Saccharomyces cerevisiae S288C: one gene and its partners. The protein of the gene in region 1 binds, or shares a complex with, the protein of each later gene. Each region holds a gene or a part of one and is shown on either strand. Other genes may lie near its edges. A codon is read from its position in the direction of its gene.

The links.
Region 2: the proteins of COX4 (region 1) and COX1 are in contact, whole or in part, in a cryo-EM structure (PDB 6T0B), measured with the Saccharomyces cerevisiae proteins. Residues at the interface, in NP_011328.1 of Saccharomyces cerevisiae: Asp82 (codon at 2,229), Thr83 (codon at 2,232), Lys84 (codon at 2,235), Pro85 (codon at 2,238), Leu86 (codon at 2,241), Ser102 (codon at 2,289), Tyr103 (codon at 2,292), Asp104 (codon at 2,295), Tyr106 (codon at 2,301), Arg107 (codon at 2,304), Tyr108 (codon at 2,307), Val109 (codon at 2,310), Gly110 (codon at 2,313), Cys111 (codon at 2,316), Thr112 (codon at 2,319), Ala116 (codon at 2,331), Thr120 (codon at 2,343), Ile121 (codon at 2,346), Met122 (codon at 2,349), Trp123 (codon at 2,352), Leu124 (codon at 2,355), Lys125 (codon at 2,358), Arg133 (codon at 2,382), Cys134 (codon at 2,385), Trp135 (codon at 2,388); in NP_009305.1 of Saccharomyces cerevisiae: Thr174, Asn175, Gly176, Met177, Pro266, Asp496, Glu499, Leu506, Asn507, Val509, Lys510, Ser511, Ser512, Ser513, Ile514, Leu517, Leu518, Thr519, His525, Phe527, Asn528, Thr529, Pro530, Ala531, Val532, Gln533, Ser534.
Region 3: the proteins of COX4 (region 1) and MAS1 are in contact, whole or in part, in a crystal structure (PDB 1HR8), measured with the Saccharomyces cerevisiae proteins. Residues at the interface, in NP_011328.1 of Saccharomyces cerevisiae: Ile8 (codon at 2,007), Arg9 (codon at 2,010), Phe10 (codon at 2,013), Phe11 (codon at 2,016), Lys12 (codon at 2,019), Pro13 (codon at 2,022), Ala14 (codon at 2,025), Thr15 (codon at 2,028), Arg16 (codon at 2,031), Thr17 (codon at 2,034), Leu18 (codon at 2,037), Cys19 (codon at 2,040); in NP_013264.1 of Saccharomyces cerevisiae: His70 (codon at 1,979), His74 (codon at 1,991), Phe77 (codon at 2,000), Asn100 (codon at 2,069), Ala101 (codon at 2,072), Tyr102 (codon at 2,075), Thr103 (codon at 2,078), Ser104 (codon at 2,081), Arg105 (codon at 2,084), Glu150 (codon at 2,219), Val154 (codon at 2,231), Glu160 (codon at 2,249), Ile180 (codon at 2,309), Leu181 (codon at 2,312), Trp277 (codon at 2,600), Tyr282 (codon at 2,615), Leu286 (codon at 2,627), Gln289 (codon at 2,636), Ala290 (codon at 2,639), Asn294 (codon at 2,651), Gly302 (codon at 2,675), Met324 (codon at 2,741), Ser327 (codon at 2,750), Thr328 (codon at 2,753), Ser329 (codon at 2,756), Gln379 (codon at 2,906), Leu380 (codon at 2,909).
Region 4: the proteins of COX4 (region 1) and COX3 are in contact, whole or in part, in a cryo-EM structure (PDB 7Z10), measured with the Saccharomyces cerevisiae proteins. Residues at the interface, in NP_011328.1 of Saccharomyces cerevisiae: Leu37 (codon at 2,094), Val40 (codon at 2,103), Asn41 (codon at 2,106), Gly42 (codon at 2,109), Pro43 (codon at 2,112), Glu53 (codon at 2,142), Gly54 (codon at 2,145), Thr55 (codon at 2,148), Val56 (codon at 2,151), Pro57 (codon at 2,154), Asp59 (codon at 2,160), Gln62 (codon at 2,169), Glu63 (codon at 2,172), Thr64 (codon at 2,175), Gly65 (codon at 2,178), Leu66 (codon at 2,181), Ala67 (codon at 2,184), Leu69 (codon at 2,190), Glu70 (codon at 2,193), Val80 (codon at 2,223), Phe81 (codon at 2,226), Asp82 (codon at 2,229), Tyr103 (codon at 2,292), Val146 (codon at 2,421), Gly147 (codon at 2,424), Val148 (codon at 2,427); in NP_009328.1 of Saccharomyces cerevisiae: Met1 (codon at 1,329), His3 (codon at 1,323), Leu4 (codon at 1,320), Glu5 (codon at 1,317), Arg6 (codon at 1,314), Ser7 (codon at 1,311), Arg8 (codon at 1,308), His9 (codon at 1,305), Gln10 (codon at 1,302), Gln11 (codon at 1,299), His12 (codon at 1,296), Pro13 (codon at 1,293), Thr74 (codon at 1,110), Tyr75 (codon at 1,107), Leu76 (codon at 1,104), Gly77 (codon at 1,101), His79 (codon at 1,095), Thr80 (codon at 1,092), Met81, Leu159 (codon at 855), Gly162 (codon at 846), Arg164 (codon at 840), Tyr233 (codon at 633), Leu235 (codon at 627), Thr236 (codon at 624), Ala237 (codon at 621), Gly238 (codon at 618), His239 (codon at 615).

What each region holds. Positions count from the first base shown.
Region 1 is NC_001139.9:149,145-152,156, reverse strand, and holds COX4 (cytochrome c oxidase subunit IV), read left to right. Parts: upstream 1-1,985; coding exon 1,986-2,453; downstream 2,454-3,012. Other genes in the region: TPN1 (Tpn1p), read left to right, coding at 1-1,120. UniProt on the Saccharomyces cerevisiae protein: Component of the cytochrome c oxidase, the last enzyme in the mitochondrial electron transport chain which drives oxidative phosphorylation.
Region 2 is NC_001224.1:12,298-16,887, reverse strand, and holds the start of COX1 (cytochrome c oxidase subunit 1), read right to left. Parts: upstream 3,071-4,590; coding exon 2,902-3,070; coding exon of another isoform or gene 566-2,901; intron 454-565; coding exon 418-453; coding exon of another isoform or gene 1-417. Other genes in the region: intron-encoded reverse transcriptase aI1, read right to left, coding at 566-3,070; intron-encoded DNA endonuclease aI3, read right to left, coding at 418-453, 2,902-3,070; intron-encoded DNA endonuclease aI4, read right to left, coding at 418-453, 2,902-3,070; AI5_ALPHA (intron-encoded DNA endonuclease aI5 alpha), read right to left, coding at 418-453, 2,902-3,070; intron-encoded reverse transcriptase aI2, read right to left, coding at 1-453, 2,902-3,070. UniProt on the Saccharomyces cerevisiae protein: Component of the cytochrome c oxidase, the last enzyme in the mitochondrial electron transport chain which drives oxidative phosphorylation.
Region 3 is NC_001144.5:491,361-495,025, reverse strand, and holds MAS1 (mitochondrial processing peptidase), read left to right. Parts: upstream 1-1,771; coding exon 1,772-3,160; downstream 3,161-3,665. Other genes in the region: pseudouridine synthase PUS5, read left to right, coding at 1-532; protein SHH4, read right to left, coding at 637-1,143. UniProt on the Saccharomyces cerevisiae protein: Catalytic subunit of the essential mitochondrial processing protease (MPP), which cleaves the mitochondrial sequence off newly imported precursors proteins. Preferentially, cleaves after an arginine at position P2.
Region 4 is NC_001224.1:77,393-80,541, reverse strand, and holds COX3 (cytochrome c oxidase subunit 3), read right to left. Parts: upstream 1,330-3,149; coding exon 520-1,329; downstream 1-519. UniProt on the Saccharomyces cerevisiae protein: Component of the cytochrome c oxidase, the last enzyme in the mitochondrial electron transport chain which drives oxidative phosphorylation.

The DNA of each region.
Region 1 (3,012 bases):
GACCGTATGCTCCTTTTTAGTTGCCATTTTCGGTATCAAACAAGTCATTAAAGTGGAAACTTACTTATCCGTACCCGTCCTGACAGCATTTTTACTACTGTACATTTCATCAAGTGATAAATACAGCTTCGTCAATGCATACGTTTCAAAGGGAAATTTGGACTCTTCCACCCGAAAGGGCAACTGGATGAGTTTTTTTTCATTATGCTATAGTATTACGGCTACTTGGGGGTCTATTACAGCAGACTATTATATATTGTTCCCAGAAGATACACCATATATTCAAATTTTTTGCCTAACGTTTTTTGGAACATTTTTGCCTACCTGTTTCGTCGGAATCTTAGGTCTCTTACTAGCTTCTGTTGCCATGTCGTATAAGCCTTGGTCAGTCGAGTACGATTCCCATGGAATGGGTGGTCTACTTTGGGCAGGTTTTCAGCGTTGGAACGGCTTCGGAAAGTTCTGCGTGGTAGTACTGGTATTCAGTTTGGTATCCAACAACATCATCAATACGTATTCGGCAGCATTCTCCATCCAACTTTCTAGTGTGTTTTGTGCAAAAATCCCTCGCTGGTTCTGGTCTATTGTTTGTACTATAATTTGTTTGGTATGCGCATTAATAGGTCGTAATCATTTTAGTACTATTTTGGGAAATTTCCTACCAATGATAGGCTACTGGATTAGCATGTACTTTATCTTATTATTCGAAGAGAATTTAGTATTCAGAAGGTTTTTCTTACATTTGTACACCAAAGAGTTTCCTACAGTTACAGGAGAAATAAATGGACCGGAACTTGTTGGATCTTCAAAAGAAGTGGAGAAAGATGCAGTTACTAATATCCATTTGTTAAAAAGAAAACATAAGGTGACTAAACATCGTTACAATTGGGACAAATGGGAAGATTATGAGGTTTTAACGCACGGTTATGCAGCAACATTTGCGTTTATTGTAGGAGTTGCTGGTGTGGTAGTTGGTATGGCGCAAGCCTATTGGATTGGCCCAATTGCTGCCAAATTTGGTGAATATGGTGGTGATGTCGCAATGTGGTTAAGTATGGCGTTCTCAGGTGTTGTATACCCTCCTTGTAGATACTTAGAGCTACGTAAATTTGGTCGTTAATTGAAATGACATAAGTATATATTAAAACTACGGTGCAGCGGCAAACTTTAGTTTAGATAATATTGGCAGGTAGATTCATGGTATGTTAAATTACGCTCAGGGAGGATATTTTTTTGTACACATTATCTTTTCACATGAAAATCTAAGCCTGGTGGACAATTGAAATCATCGAGTGATATACTGACACTTTGAACAGTAGCACAAATCGTTTAATTTGCTGTCACGATCTAAGTTTTCTGTCAGCTGACTGTCCACCAATAAGATCAGCGGATTCCAAAGGCGTCCTTCGAAAAAGCGATATCTCCCATCTTGGTTAGTAGCAAATAAAGGGAAGAGAAAATAAGACACACTCAAGGATAAAATACTTCGCTTCTTCCAAGTATAAACACAGGAAAGAAAGATATACGAAGATTAGAATTTTTTTCATACTTTTTACAAAACATTTTTTTGTACTTAGGCACGCTAATTGCGTAAAAATTAGCATAAACAGGAAATAAGATTATTTTGAAATGTATGTTATAATCCTCTTATTGAAAAATACATGAGATGTAGGAGAAGAACTACCAGGAAAGAAGATATTTAACAGATCGAACGAAACGGAAAAGAACTAAGAGAAAACAAATCTGGATTTGACTTTAAGAAAAAATTTATTTGCAAGTTTAACTCGTTCCCTGCTTTTCTATTTGGCTTGAGACGATAATTGCATAATTGTCCAAATTGTCCATCATATAATGAAGAATTCGATGCGAAATATTCCCTGTCACTTTCCTTTAGTCAACGTATTCTTCTCCCTGAAGAAACAGTATACTAACAATACTCACCCATTTCGATTTTGATGTTGCCATACAAATAGATAACAAGCACAATGCTTTCACTACGTCAATCTATAAGATTTTTCAAGCCAGCCACAAGAACTTTGTGTAGCTCTAGATATCTGCTTCAGCAAAAACCCGTGGTGAAAACTGCCCAAAACTTAGCAGAAGTTAATGGTCCAGAAACTTTGATTGGTCCTGGTGCTAAAGAGGGTACCGTTCCAACAGACCTAGATCAAGAAACTGGTTTAGCTAGGTTAGAATTATTGGGTAAATTAGAGGGTATCGATGTTTTCGACACCAAACCATTAGATTCGTCCAGGAAGGGTACCATGAAAGATCCGATCATCATTGAATCTTATGATGATTATCGTTATGTCGGTTGTACGGGTTCTCCCGCTGGTTCACATACTATTATGTGGTTAAAACCAACTGTTAACGAAGTCGCCAGATGCTGGGAATGTGGTTCTGTTTACAAACTAAACCCTGTTGGTGTTCCAAATGATGACCACCATCACTAATCTTATCATTCAAGTTGCCCTTCTGTTTCTCTTTTACTTTTTACCTTCTTCTTTATTTATATTTTTTTTTTTGGAAACCTAGCGAATATTCTTACCAGGTCTGAGCTTTTACACACGTCATGTTAACAAAGTTCCACAAGAAAGTTCTTTGCAGGAAGGTTAAGGCGAACGCTTTGCTCTATCTATAATGAAGAGCCAAAAAATACATAACCAAAAAGATCGAGAAAAGGTCGAGATATATTTTTATTTAAAAATTCTTATTAATATTAGTACTATTCATGTCATAACTGATTACTATTTCTATCTCTGTCAGAGATGGCTAGCTAGAGGTTGTTGCGAAGTTACTTCCAAAAGATTCTAGACTGTGCTTACAGCATCCATACACCCACCCATACATACTGATTTCTTTTTTTAAAGACGTCGATTTTTCGAAAAAAGTAAATTCTCGGCACAGGGAGTTGAATTGAACTTCCCTGCCCCGACGGTAAGCAGCTTACCGGTATTGCTTCGTTCTCCTTGGGAGATGTTCTCGGCTCTGGAAGGAAAAAACCTTCGTGGG
Region 2 (4,590 bases), on another chromosome or scaffold:
TTCCATTTGAACTCGTACAGCCCTCCAAATGTCAACTTTTACTTAAAGCTAATGATTCATTTTTGGTTAACTCGTGTACCTCTTCTTCCAATACATAAGCATGAATCACAATCCCCAAGTGGGAAGGAGTTAATGAGAACCCTAAACATTCTTTACAGGAATTCGTTAACCTAGCCATCGGACAGTTCTTACCTTGCGCTGGCTGTTTTACTCCAGCGCTTTTATGGCATGCTATTGTCCCCGTTGAGTTGGCCCCAACTGGGTAAGCCATATGGTTTACGTATCTAAATACTATGTATGTTACTACTAATAATCAGAACCAAAATGATACGGTAAAGTTTTCATTAATTGAATAAACAGAGATATGTTTATCAATTAACACTTCAATACAGTGATAAATTAAGCGAAACGGCGCACAGAAAATCATTAATACAGCATGACCAACTACTAAAAATGAAATAGCAAATTAACCTATGTTGCCACGTGTTAAAGAGCCTTTCCCAAACCGTACGTGATAGTTTCCCATCATACGGCTTTCCATATTGAGTATCATTAATAATAGATTTTATATACCAGGTCCTATATTTTTAAATTTATTTTTATGTGTTTTAATATGACATTGTTTACATAATGGAATTTGTTTTCTGTTTATGGTAATTATTCTACCTAGAATATAATCTTTAAGTGCTTTTAATATACCTCTATGTAATTGTTTAACATGATGTATTTCTACATCAATAGTTGAATTACAAATACTACAAGGTTTATTAAAATTAGCTTTAGCTGTAGGTAATATATATTTAATTGAATCGATATATTCAAAAGGATCAGTTACTTTAGCTTCTGATATATATATAAATATACCATGATTTTCAATTTTTTTGATATTATCAAAAGTATTTCTTGGAAAATTGGCAATTAATTTATCATTTTCAATAATATTTAAATTATAACCAAATTTTTTAATAGTTTTACTTATTGTTTTTAATCTATATTTACTAGCTAAAGTTAATACACATGAATAATATAATACGTAATAGATTCTTTCTCTTAATCTTTTATAATTAGTAGCTAATTTATAATAATTTAAGATACCTCTACCTAACGCTTTATAATTATTAATAATTGTTCTAGGTTCTTCATATAGTCATCTACCTACTCTTGTAGGCACTCCTATTCTACCATTTTTATTATGCTTACAATATCCATTAGTAGCTAATTTATTGATAATATCTCTAATTGGTGCATTAATAATAGGTCTAGTTGTATTTCTACTTCTAATAAGTTTACCTCTAATTAGTTTAGTAACTGTAGGTATTCTTTTTAAAGGTGTAATTGAAATATTATAACCTAAAAATCTTGCTGGTAGTTCAGTTGCACAAGTAATTAAAGTTTTTTCTTCATTTATAGTTAAACCTAATGAATTTAAAAAATTGTTTAAATCTCTTTTGATTATTTTACAATCATTTTTTGAACCTAATACCCCAATTAAAATATCATCTGCATATCTAACGTATTTTATTCTCTTGAAATTAGGATCATTATAAATAAATAGTGGGCCTTTAGCTCTTTCTTTATGTAATTTTAATCTTGTCGAAAATATTTTAGCTTTTGCAATTATTCTTGATAATTTTTTATATGTAGGATGTTGTTTTTTAACTTTACCTTTATTATATAAATTAATATAATCTTCTAATCAATTATCTACCAATGTTATTACAATATTACATAAGATAGGACTAATTAATGATCCTTGAGGTAAACCTAATATAGGTTTATGATAAGTTCCTTTCTCATCAATATAACCAGCTCTTAATAATTTATATACTAAATCAATAAAACCTTTATCTGAAATATATCTTTTTAATTCTTTAATAATTAAATCATGAGAAATTGTATCAAAACATTTTTTTAAGTCTACTTCAATAAATCAATTACTTCCACCAAATATATTTCTAACTTCTCAAATTGCTGTTTGACAACTTATATTCTTTCTAAAACCATGTGAATGTGTTGATATCTTTTTATCAAAAATTGTATCTAAAATTATTCTTATAACTTCTTGTACAATTTTATCTCTTGGATTACCTACACTTAAAGGTCTTATACCACCTTTAGGTTTAGGAATATTAACTATTCTCATGGGTTTAAATTTGAATTTACCTGTTCCTAATTCATTTGATAATTTATTTAAATATATTATATTTATACCATCTAATGTTTCTAATGTTGTACCTGGAGTTATATTACCAGGTTTACTCTTAATTCTATTATATGCTAATATTAATATATCTACGTTTTTTATAATACTTAATAAATTATTATTTATATTTTCCTCATTTATATTATCTATTACTAATTTCTCAAATTCTAACAAGTCCGAAGTACTTGTATCTTTTGATAACTCAATATTGGTATCCTTCCCTATTTTTAAATTATTATTTACTGAATAGTATCTAACTTGATTTAAAAATCTCATTTTTATTTGAGTATTCGGTACTACTATACCTCTGTCAACTCCAGAGTTTCCTCTTTCAGTTGATCCCTCACTTTTCGTATTTCCTTTTGTGTTATTTAGGTCCTTCATCTTTTTCACACTGCCTGTGCTATCTAAAACAATGAATCATAATCTGATTACCTCAACGTAAAATAATCAAACTTGTTTTACTATATCCAAATGATAAGAGGAAATTGTAATCCTGATAAAGACTTGTAAGAAGTTCGTTAACCTAACCATGTAACACTTAACTCCACCTACACTAATCATAGGTGTTTTATGACATGCTATTGTCCCCGTAAAGTTAGCCCCTACTGAGTTAGTCATATGTTTTAAGTATCTATTGATGATTCATAATACTAATGCTAGACGCATCAACGAAATATACGCACTGAGAGGCGCACCATTAAATAATTGTGAATTACCATGTAAATATTGTGAACCAGGTGCAGCTAATTCTAATCTAATGATTAAAGACATTGCTGTTCCTGCCATACCACTAAAAATAGCTAACATAAAATATAATACTGCAATATCTTTTGCATTTGTTGAATATAATCATCTTTGTACCATTTTTACTTTTTTTTTATATATTAATTTTAATAATATTATTATTATTATATTCATTAAAAAAAAAAATTAATTAAATTTAATTTAATTTAATTTAAATAATTATTGTTATATCTTAAAGGATAATAATATATTATTCTATTTATAAATATAACAATAGTTGAATTTATAATATTAATTATTAATGAATACTATATAATATTTTAGTTATAACTTTAAACAATTCTTTTATATCTTTATAAATAAATATTATTATATTATAAAGTAATAGTATAATTAATTTTTATATATATATTATTTATATAAATGTATCATAATCTATAATATAATATATATATATATATTAAAATCATTTAAATTATATAACATATATATATATTTAATGATATTAATACTCTCTTTCATAATCTATATTATTAATATTATTTATATAAAATATTAATAATATTATTATTATATCTATTACTTATATCAATACTTATTATTTAATATTATATATTACTTTTTACTCATTACAAAATACCAACTAAACCGAACTAATATAAATATATTATTTAATATATTGATTTTTTTATTATTTATTACTTAATAATAAAATAAATTATATAAAAATATTATTATCTATATATTATATATATATTTATATATATATATATTTTTTATATTATATTATATTATATATATATTATTTACATTCTTTATTATATTTATATATATTATTATTCTTTATTATAAATAAGAAATTATTTAATTTATATTTTTATGATAATATTTAAAGATTTATTAATTAAATTATTCATAATATATTAAATAATATTAATCTTATATATATAAATAATTAATATTGATTATTATTATTATTATTATATATATAAATAAATATTGATAAAAATAATATTTAATATAGAGTATTATATTTTATATAATTAATATATATATATATATATATTGTTATATATATTAAAAAAGTAATGTAGTTATATTTTTAGTATTAAATATATAAGTCCCGGTTTCTTACGAAACCGGGACCTCGGAGACGTAATAGGGGGAGGGGGTGGGTGATAAGAACCAAACTATTCAATAAATATAGAGCACACATTAGTTAAATGTATTAATATAATCAATAAATATATTATAATAATATAATATATTATATAATATAAATAAAGGTATTAACGAAATAATAAATTGTATAATATAAATTATAAATAAATAATTAAAATAAATTTAATAAAATAATAAATAAAAACAAGAAGATATCCGGGTCCCATGATAAATTATTATTGAAAATAATAATTGGGACCCCACCACTATAATAAAATATTAATGAATATAATTATAATATATATAAAAATATATATAATAATATTTATATATAATATATATATATATATATAGAAATATAAATTATTATATAAAAATATAATTCTCCTCCGGCGTCCGCCCCGCGGGGCGGGCCGGACTATTTATTATTATATTTTAATAATAAATAAATAAAAATAATAATAATAGTTCCGGGGCCC
Region 3 (3,665 bases), on another chromosome or scaffold:
GCTGATTGCAAAGACTAAAGACGGAAGTGTAAAATTCTCTAGATTTTTACAAAAGGGCGGCAACAACGGTTATAAGTTGCAAAGAAAGTATGTAGCTATTGTCGAGTCGTCCGGTCGTTTCAACAAACCAAATAACTATGAAATTAAATATGGTCCTAAATATAATTTCTTGATTTCACATGGTGGTAGGGAGATTACTAAGTTCAAAGAAGTTGACGAAAATTGTATTGTTTTACAATTGGTTACAGGAAAAAAACATCAGATTCGAAATCACGTCTCTCAAATTTTAAATCAGCCCATATTAAACGACAAGAGACATGGCAGCACTGTCAATTTTCCAGAGTTGTTCAATGACCAAATAGCGTTGCATTCAGCGTGCATAATAACGAAAATTGGCCTGCAAACTAAAACGCACTTGATACCTATGGAACACAATAATACTGGCCAACTTTGGTCAAGAAAATACGTCAATGAAGAGGGTGAGTTCACTTTGCCCATAAAAGAAGTCCTGTTGGAAAACTGGGACCAGTAAAATAAGCAATAAATAATCGGTTATTAAATTATTTCTAATACACATATATAACGAGAATAAAAAAGGTAGTCACCACTAACCAAACCATATTGATTAATTGATGATTACTGCCTCTTTTTTTCCACAGGTTTGTTATCCCATAATGATTTTAAAGAGGCAATAAGACCAGCTTCTTGACTCTCTAATTTATATATACCGACGAACGATAAAAAGGAGCCCAAGCTCAATAAATACATCGCGTAATGATGTACCTTTCCATAGACTCTTTCAGAAATATAGTCTATAATGCAAGACTGAAATCCGATATGACAATGACCTAGCAGGACCAAGGAAAGAAATGTGTCGGTAAAAGTGGAAATAGGGCCTGTAGTGACCAAGGGAACTGCGATCAGCGGAAGAACCGCTAAGGACAGTCCGCGCTCGACAATCCAATGGTACGAACCCTGAGCTCTGCTTTCGGGCGGCATATAAGAGGAATCATTTGCGGTCCCACTCACACCTCCAGGTTTCTGTGGAATCTTTGGCAGAAAAGGAATGGTAAAGGATCTGGCAATTGAAGTATGAAAAGCCCTTATTCTGCAGAGTGGTTTCAAAAACTTAGTCGATGACATTCCTACTTTCCTAAGAATTGGGGCAACCTTTTTGAGAATCGTTGCTGATTCATTAGAACTGATAAACGGTCTGTCCACTGGGGACTGAAAATATATAGGTTTGCTTCTATGAAATTCGACGTCAAAATTAAGGGATACCTATGGCCAGCGCCCTTCAACTGACGATTTTTAGTTATCATACGCGTCCCTTATTATCTTAAACCGTAATAAAAAATCGTTACTTCGGATAAGGGTACTCCAATCTGGATGTGAGAGTCTGATAGTACCATGTTAGAGCCGCGTTGAAGGTGCGAATCAGGGTTTTATTCTCCTTAAACTTGATCCCGTCCAAAGGAGTTAAGAAGTAAAATGCACGGCTTTACTAAGACTATATTTACGTATTAAATTCCTCAACACGTAGTGAGGAAAGCTAAAATGCTGAGCTTAATTTCTCAGCCAACAATGGGTGATACTACTGTTCAGTGCACAGATTAGATGACCAATATTATTTTCACGTATTTAGTGATATTCGTAATCGAGCTGGACTCATCTCTTTAGTAATAAGAAGTGAATTTGAACGCTATGGATAAATCATGATATCTTGCTCTCAGGCATCAAACTAGTGCGCAAAGTGATAGGTGATCATACAATGTTTTCAAGAACAGCATCCAAGTTCCGTAATACACGGAGGCTTTTAAGTACAATTTCCTCACAAATTCCAGGAACCAGAACCTCTAAACTTCCTAATGGGTTGACAATTGCCACAGAGTACATCCCCAACACATCTTCGGCTACTGTTGGAATATTTGTCGATGCTGGTTCTAGGGCAGAAAACGTAAAAAACAATGGTACAGCGCATTTTCTAGAACACTTGGCTTTCAAGGGTACTCAGAATAGGTCACAACAAGGAATTGAATTGGAAATTGAAAATATCGGATCTCATTTGAATGCATATACATCAAGAGAAAACACAGTTTATTATGCTAAGTCCCTACAAGAAGATATCCCAAAGGCTGTTGATATTCTAAGTGATATTTTGACTAAGTCAGTTTTAGATAATAGTGCTATTGAGAGAGAAAGGGATGTCATCATCAGAGAAAGTGAAGAGGTGGACAAGATGTATGATGAAGTTGTTTTTGACCATCTTCATGAGATTACGTATAAGGACCAACCTTTAGGAAGAACCATTCTGGGTCCTATAAAAAACATAAAATCAATAACAAGAACTGATTTGAAAGACTATATAACCAAGAACTATAAAGGCGACAGAATGGTATTGGCAGGTGCGGGCGCTGTTGATCATGAAAAATTGGTACAGTATGCTCAAAAATACTTTGGCCATGTGCCCAAATCTGAATCGCCTGTCCCGTTGGGATCACCAAGGGGCCCATTACCAGTTTTTTGTAGAGGTGAAAGGTTTATCAAAGAAAACACGTTACCTACAACACATATTGCTATCGCATTAGAAGGCGTGTCATGGTCTGCACCTGATTATTTTGTAGCTCTGGCAACACAAGCGATTGTTGGTAACTGGGACAGAGCCATTGGCACAGGTACAAACTCCCCCTCTCCATTAGCTGTTGCAGCAAGTCAAAATGGTTCTTTGGCTAATTCTTATATGTCATTTTCCACCTCTTACGCTGATTCAGGTCTGTGGGGAATGTACATAGTAACTGATTCTAATGAGCATAACGTGCAGTTAATTGTTAATGAGATCCTGAAAGAGTGGAAGAGAATAAAATCTGGCAAAATATCGGATGCAGAGGTGAATAGGGCAAAAGCTCAGCTAAAGGCAGCTCTGTTGCTATCGTTGGATGGATCGACAGCCATTGTAGAAGATATAGGCAGACAAGTGGTGACCACAGGTAAAAGATTATCACCAGAAGAAGTTTTCGAGCAGGTTGATAAAATCACTAAGGATGATATTATTATGTGGGCAAATTACAGATTACAAAACAAACCAGTTTCAATGGTTGCCCTAGGAAATACATCCACTGTCCCTAATGTATCCTATATCGAAGAAAAACTGAACCAATGACCACGCCGATTTATTAGTAAGTTCATTTCACATCTCTGCTAATTTCTAATTTCTCTTCATACTTGTATAAAGTTCTATGTCAATAAATTCTTGTTCAAATGAGATGTTGCTACATAAAAAATATGAATAGATATCGGCGGCTCTAGTACCCATTCCCCAAAACACGATGTCGGTATATTAACAGCACGTGTATTTTCTTTTTTGAAGGATACATTAATACTTTCTTCCTAAAACTGCACTTATAGTGGGGTGTGAAAGGGCCCTTCCCGTATTCAATATTAAAGCAGCCCTTCAGATTGCAAAAAATGCACAATAAATTTGTTAATATAAGCCACAAGCCAAAAAAAAAAAAGTGATGCAATTGTATATACTTAACATAAAGATTTTAAGTTATCCGTTACCATTGCATACAGAATTATCCAGATAATACTGTTTACTATGCTCATCGATCGTTTCATATTGGTCATTGCCTTGAAAAAAAAGCACGTGAAAAAAATACTGTGAG
Region 4 (3,149 bases), on another chromosome or scaffold:
CTTTCGGGGTTCCGGCTCCCGTGGCCGGGCCCCGGAACTATATAATATTTAATAATAATCAAATAAAAAATATTTTTTATAAAATAATATTAATAATATATATATATATATGAATTTATATATTAGTTAAATTAATAATATTTATATTATATTATATCATATTAAAAAAGTCCCGCTGGAGGTGAGGCGGTGACCTCGAAGGAATATAAAAATATAAATAATTACATTATTATATTATATTATATTAATATTATATTTTTTTTTTTATAAATATTAAATAAATTTATTAATTATCTTTATAAAAGGTAAATGAAAAAAGAGTATAATGATTATATTATTATTAGTTCCCGCTTCGCGGGAACCCCGTTAGGAGTTTTGAAGGAATAATATATAATAATTATATTTGTAAGAATATTATTATAATAATATAAAATATATATATATAAATTATAATATATTAATTATTGTTAATTATTAATAATATATATATTAATCATTTAGATATATAATTCTATAGCCTTAGACTCCTCATCAGTAGAAGACTACGTATAAAAATAATCAGATAACATCTAAAACATGTAGATAAATAATAGTTGTTTCATATCCAACATGATGTCCAGCTGTTAAATGATAATTTCTCATTCTTCAATAATTAACACCTAACATAGCTGCTAACATTACCATATGTAAGAAATGTAATCCTGTACCAGCATAGAATACTGAACCATAAACACCATCAGAGATAGTGAATGCAGCATTAGTATATTCAATATATTGACAAGTAACAAAAATAACAATTAATCAGAATGTAATTAATAAACCTGATAAGGCTTTATTTCTATTACCTGCGATTAAGGCATGATGACTATAAGTTACAGTAGCACCAGAAGATAATAAGATAATAGTATTTAATAAAGGTAATTCGGTAGGTTGTACAGCTTCAATACCTACGGGTGGTCAACATGCACCTAATAGTACATCAGGACTCATAGCTGAATGGAAATAAGCTCAGAATAAACCAGCAAAGATTAATACTTCAGATAATACAAACATTAAGAAACCTAAATTAATACCTTTTCTTACTGCTATAGTATGATCACCTAAATATGTAGCTTCAGCTACAATATCTCTAAATCATAAAATAGAACTTGTTAATAATACAAATAATGCTAAATATACCATATTCATATTACCAATATAACCATGCATTGTTAATGCTAGTGATAATGCTAATGATAATAATGCAAATGATACTACAATAGGTCATGGTGAAGGCATAACCATATGAAATGGATGTTGTTGATGTCTACTTCTTTCTAAATGTGTCATAAATTTATTGTTATATATATATTATATATATAATATAATTAAATAAATAAATAAAAAAAATATTAATAAAATATTATCCCTTAAACTATATAATAAAATTAAATAATAATATTAATTTAATAAATCTTTTATTTAATAATAATATAAATTATATTAAATATTTATAATAATATATTATTTATAAAATTATAAAATAAATTTATATATAATTCAATATATATATATTAATTTATATATTTAAATTAAATATAATTAAATAAATAATATAATCGAATTAATATCTCTTTCGACCGGATTATTTATTCAATTATTAATAATATAAATAATTAATTTGTATTGAATATAATTTATTTAAATATTTTATTATTATTATTATTATTATTATTAATTTATTAATATTAAAGGAAATATATTTATTATATTATATTATATATATTTTTTATTATTTATATTTATTATTAATATAAATCATTGATAATATCTTCTTTTTATTTATTTATTATTATAATTAAAAAAGAATCTTATATTAATTAATATTATTTATTTTTTTTTTATTTAATAAATAAATATTATTATATTAAGATAGATATAATATTATATCTAGATTTAGGAAATATAGGGTTCGAACCTATAATCTTTCGTGTGTAAAACGAATGCTATACCAATTAAGCTAATCTCCTTTATAAAATATATACTCCACAGATATATATCCAAAACTCTTATTAATTATTATAATTATTATTTTATTTATTTATATATATATAATTATAATAATTCATATAATTATTATAATCTTATAAATATTCCTATTGAAAATTATACTTTATAATTAAATTTATTAATAATTATTTAATTTAATATATAAAATATTTATTTATATATATATTTATATATATATATATATTTTTATAAGTAGTATATTATATTTTATATATAATAATATTTATAATATATATATTATAAATTATATATAATATATTATATATTTATTTAATAATTTTTATATAATTAATATATTATATATTTAATAAATTTTATATAATTAATAAGGTAAATATAATTTAATGGTAAAATGTATGTTTTTAGGTGCATATTATCTAAGTTCAAATCTTAGTATTTACAAAATAAAAAATTAATATAAATTTATTATAATCATTTATAAATTTATTATAATATTATTATTATATTTATTTATTATTAATAATTATTTATTATTTATTATATAATATTTTTATAATTATATATTAAATATATATAAATTTTATTATAATAAAACTCCTTCTTAAATAGGGGTTCGGTTCCCATGGGGTCCCTCACTCCTTACGGGGTTCCCGCAAAGCGGGAACTAATAATAATATATATTTTTATATATATATTAATATATATATATATTTATAACTCCTTTATTGATATTTATTCTTATTTAGAATATTTTTAATTAAATAATATAATTAAATGAATACCAAACTTATATTATATTTATATTTATATTTATATTTCTCCTACCGGGGTTCCGGCTCCCGTGGCCGGGCCCCGGAACTAAATATATAAACTTTTTTTTATAATATTATATTTATTAAAATATTAATAAATAAATAAATAAGAGATATAATATATATTTTCTTTGTATTAAATATATTATATATATATATATTAATTATTATAATATATTTATTATAAATTAATTATTAATTAATATATTATTATTATTGCCCTTAATGAGAATCGAACTACATGTAAATAAATCTTCAATTTATCGCTTTACCACTAAGCTATAAAAGCTATATATAATATAATACTTATTATTACTTATAATATAA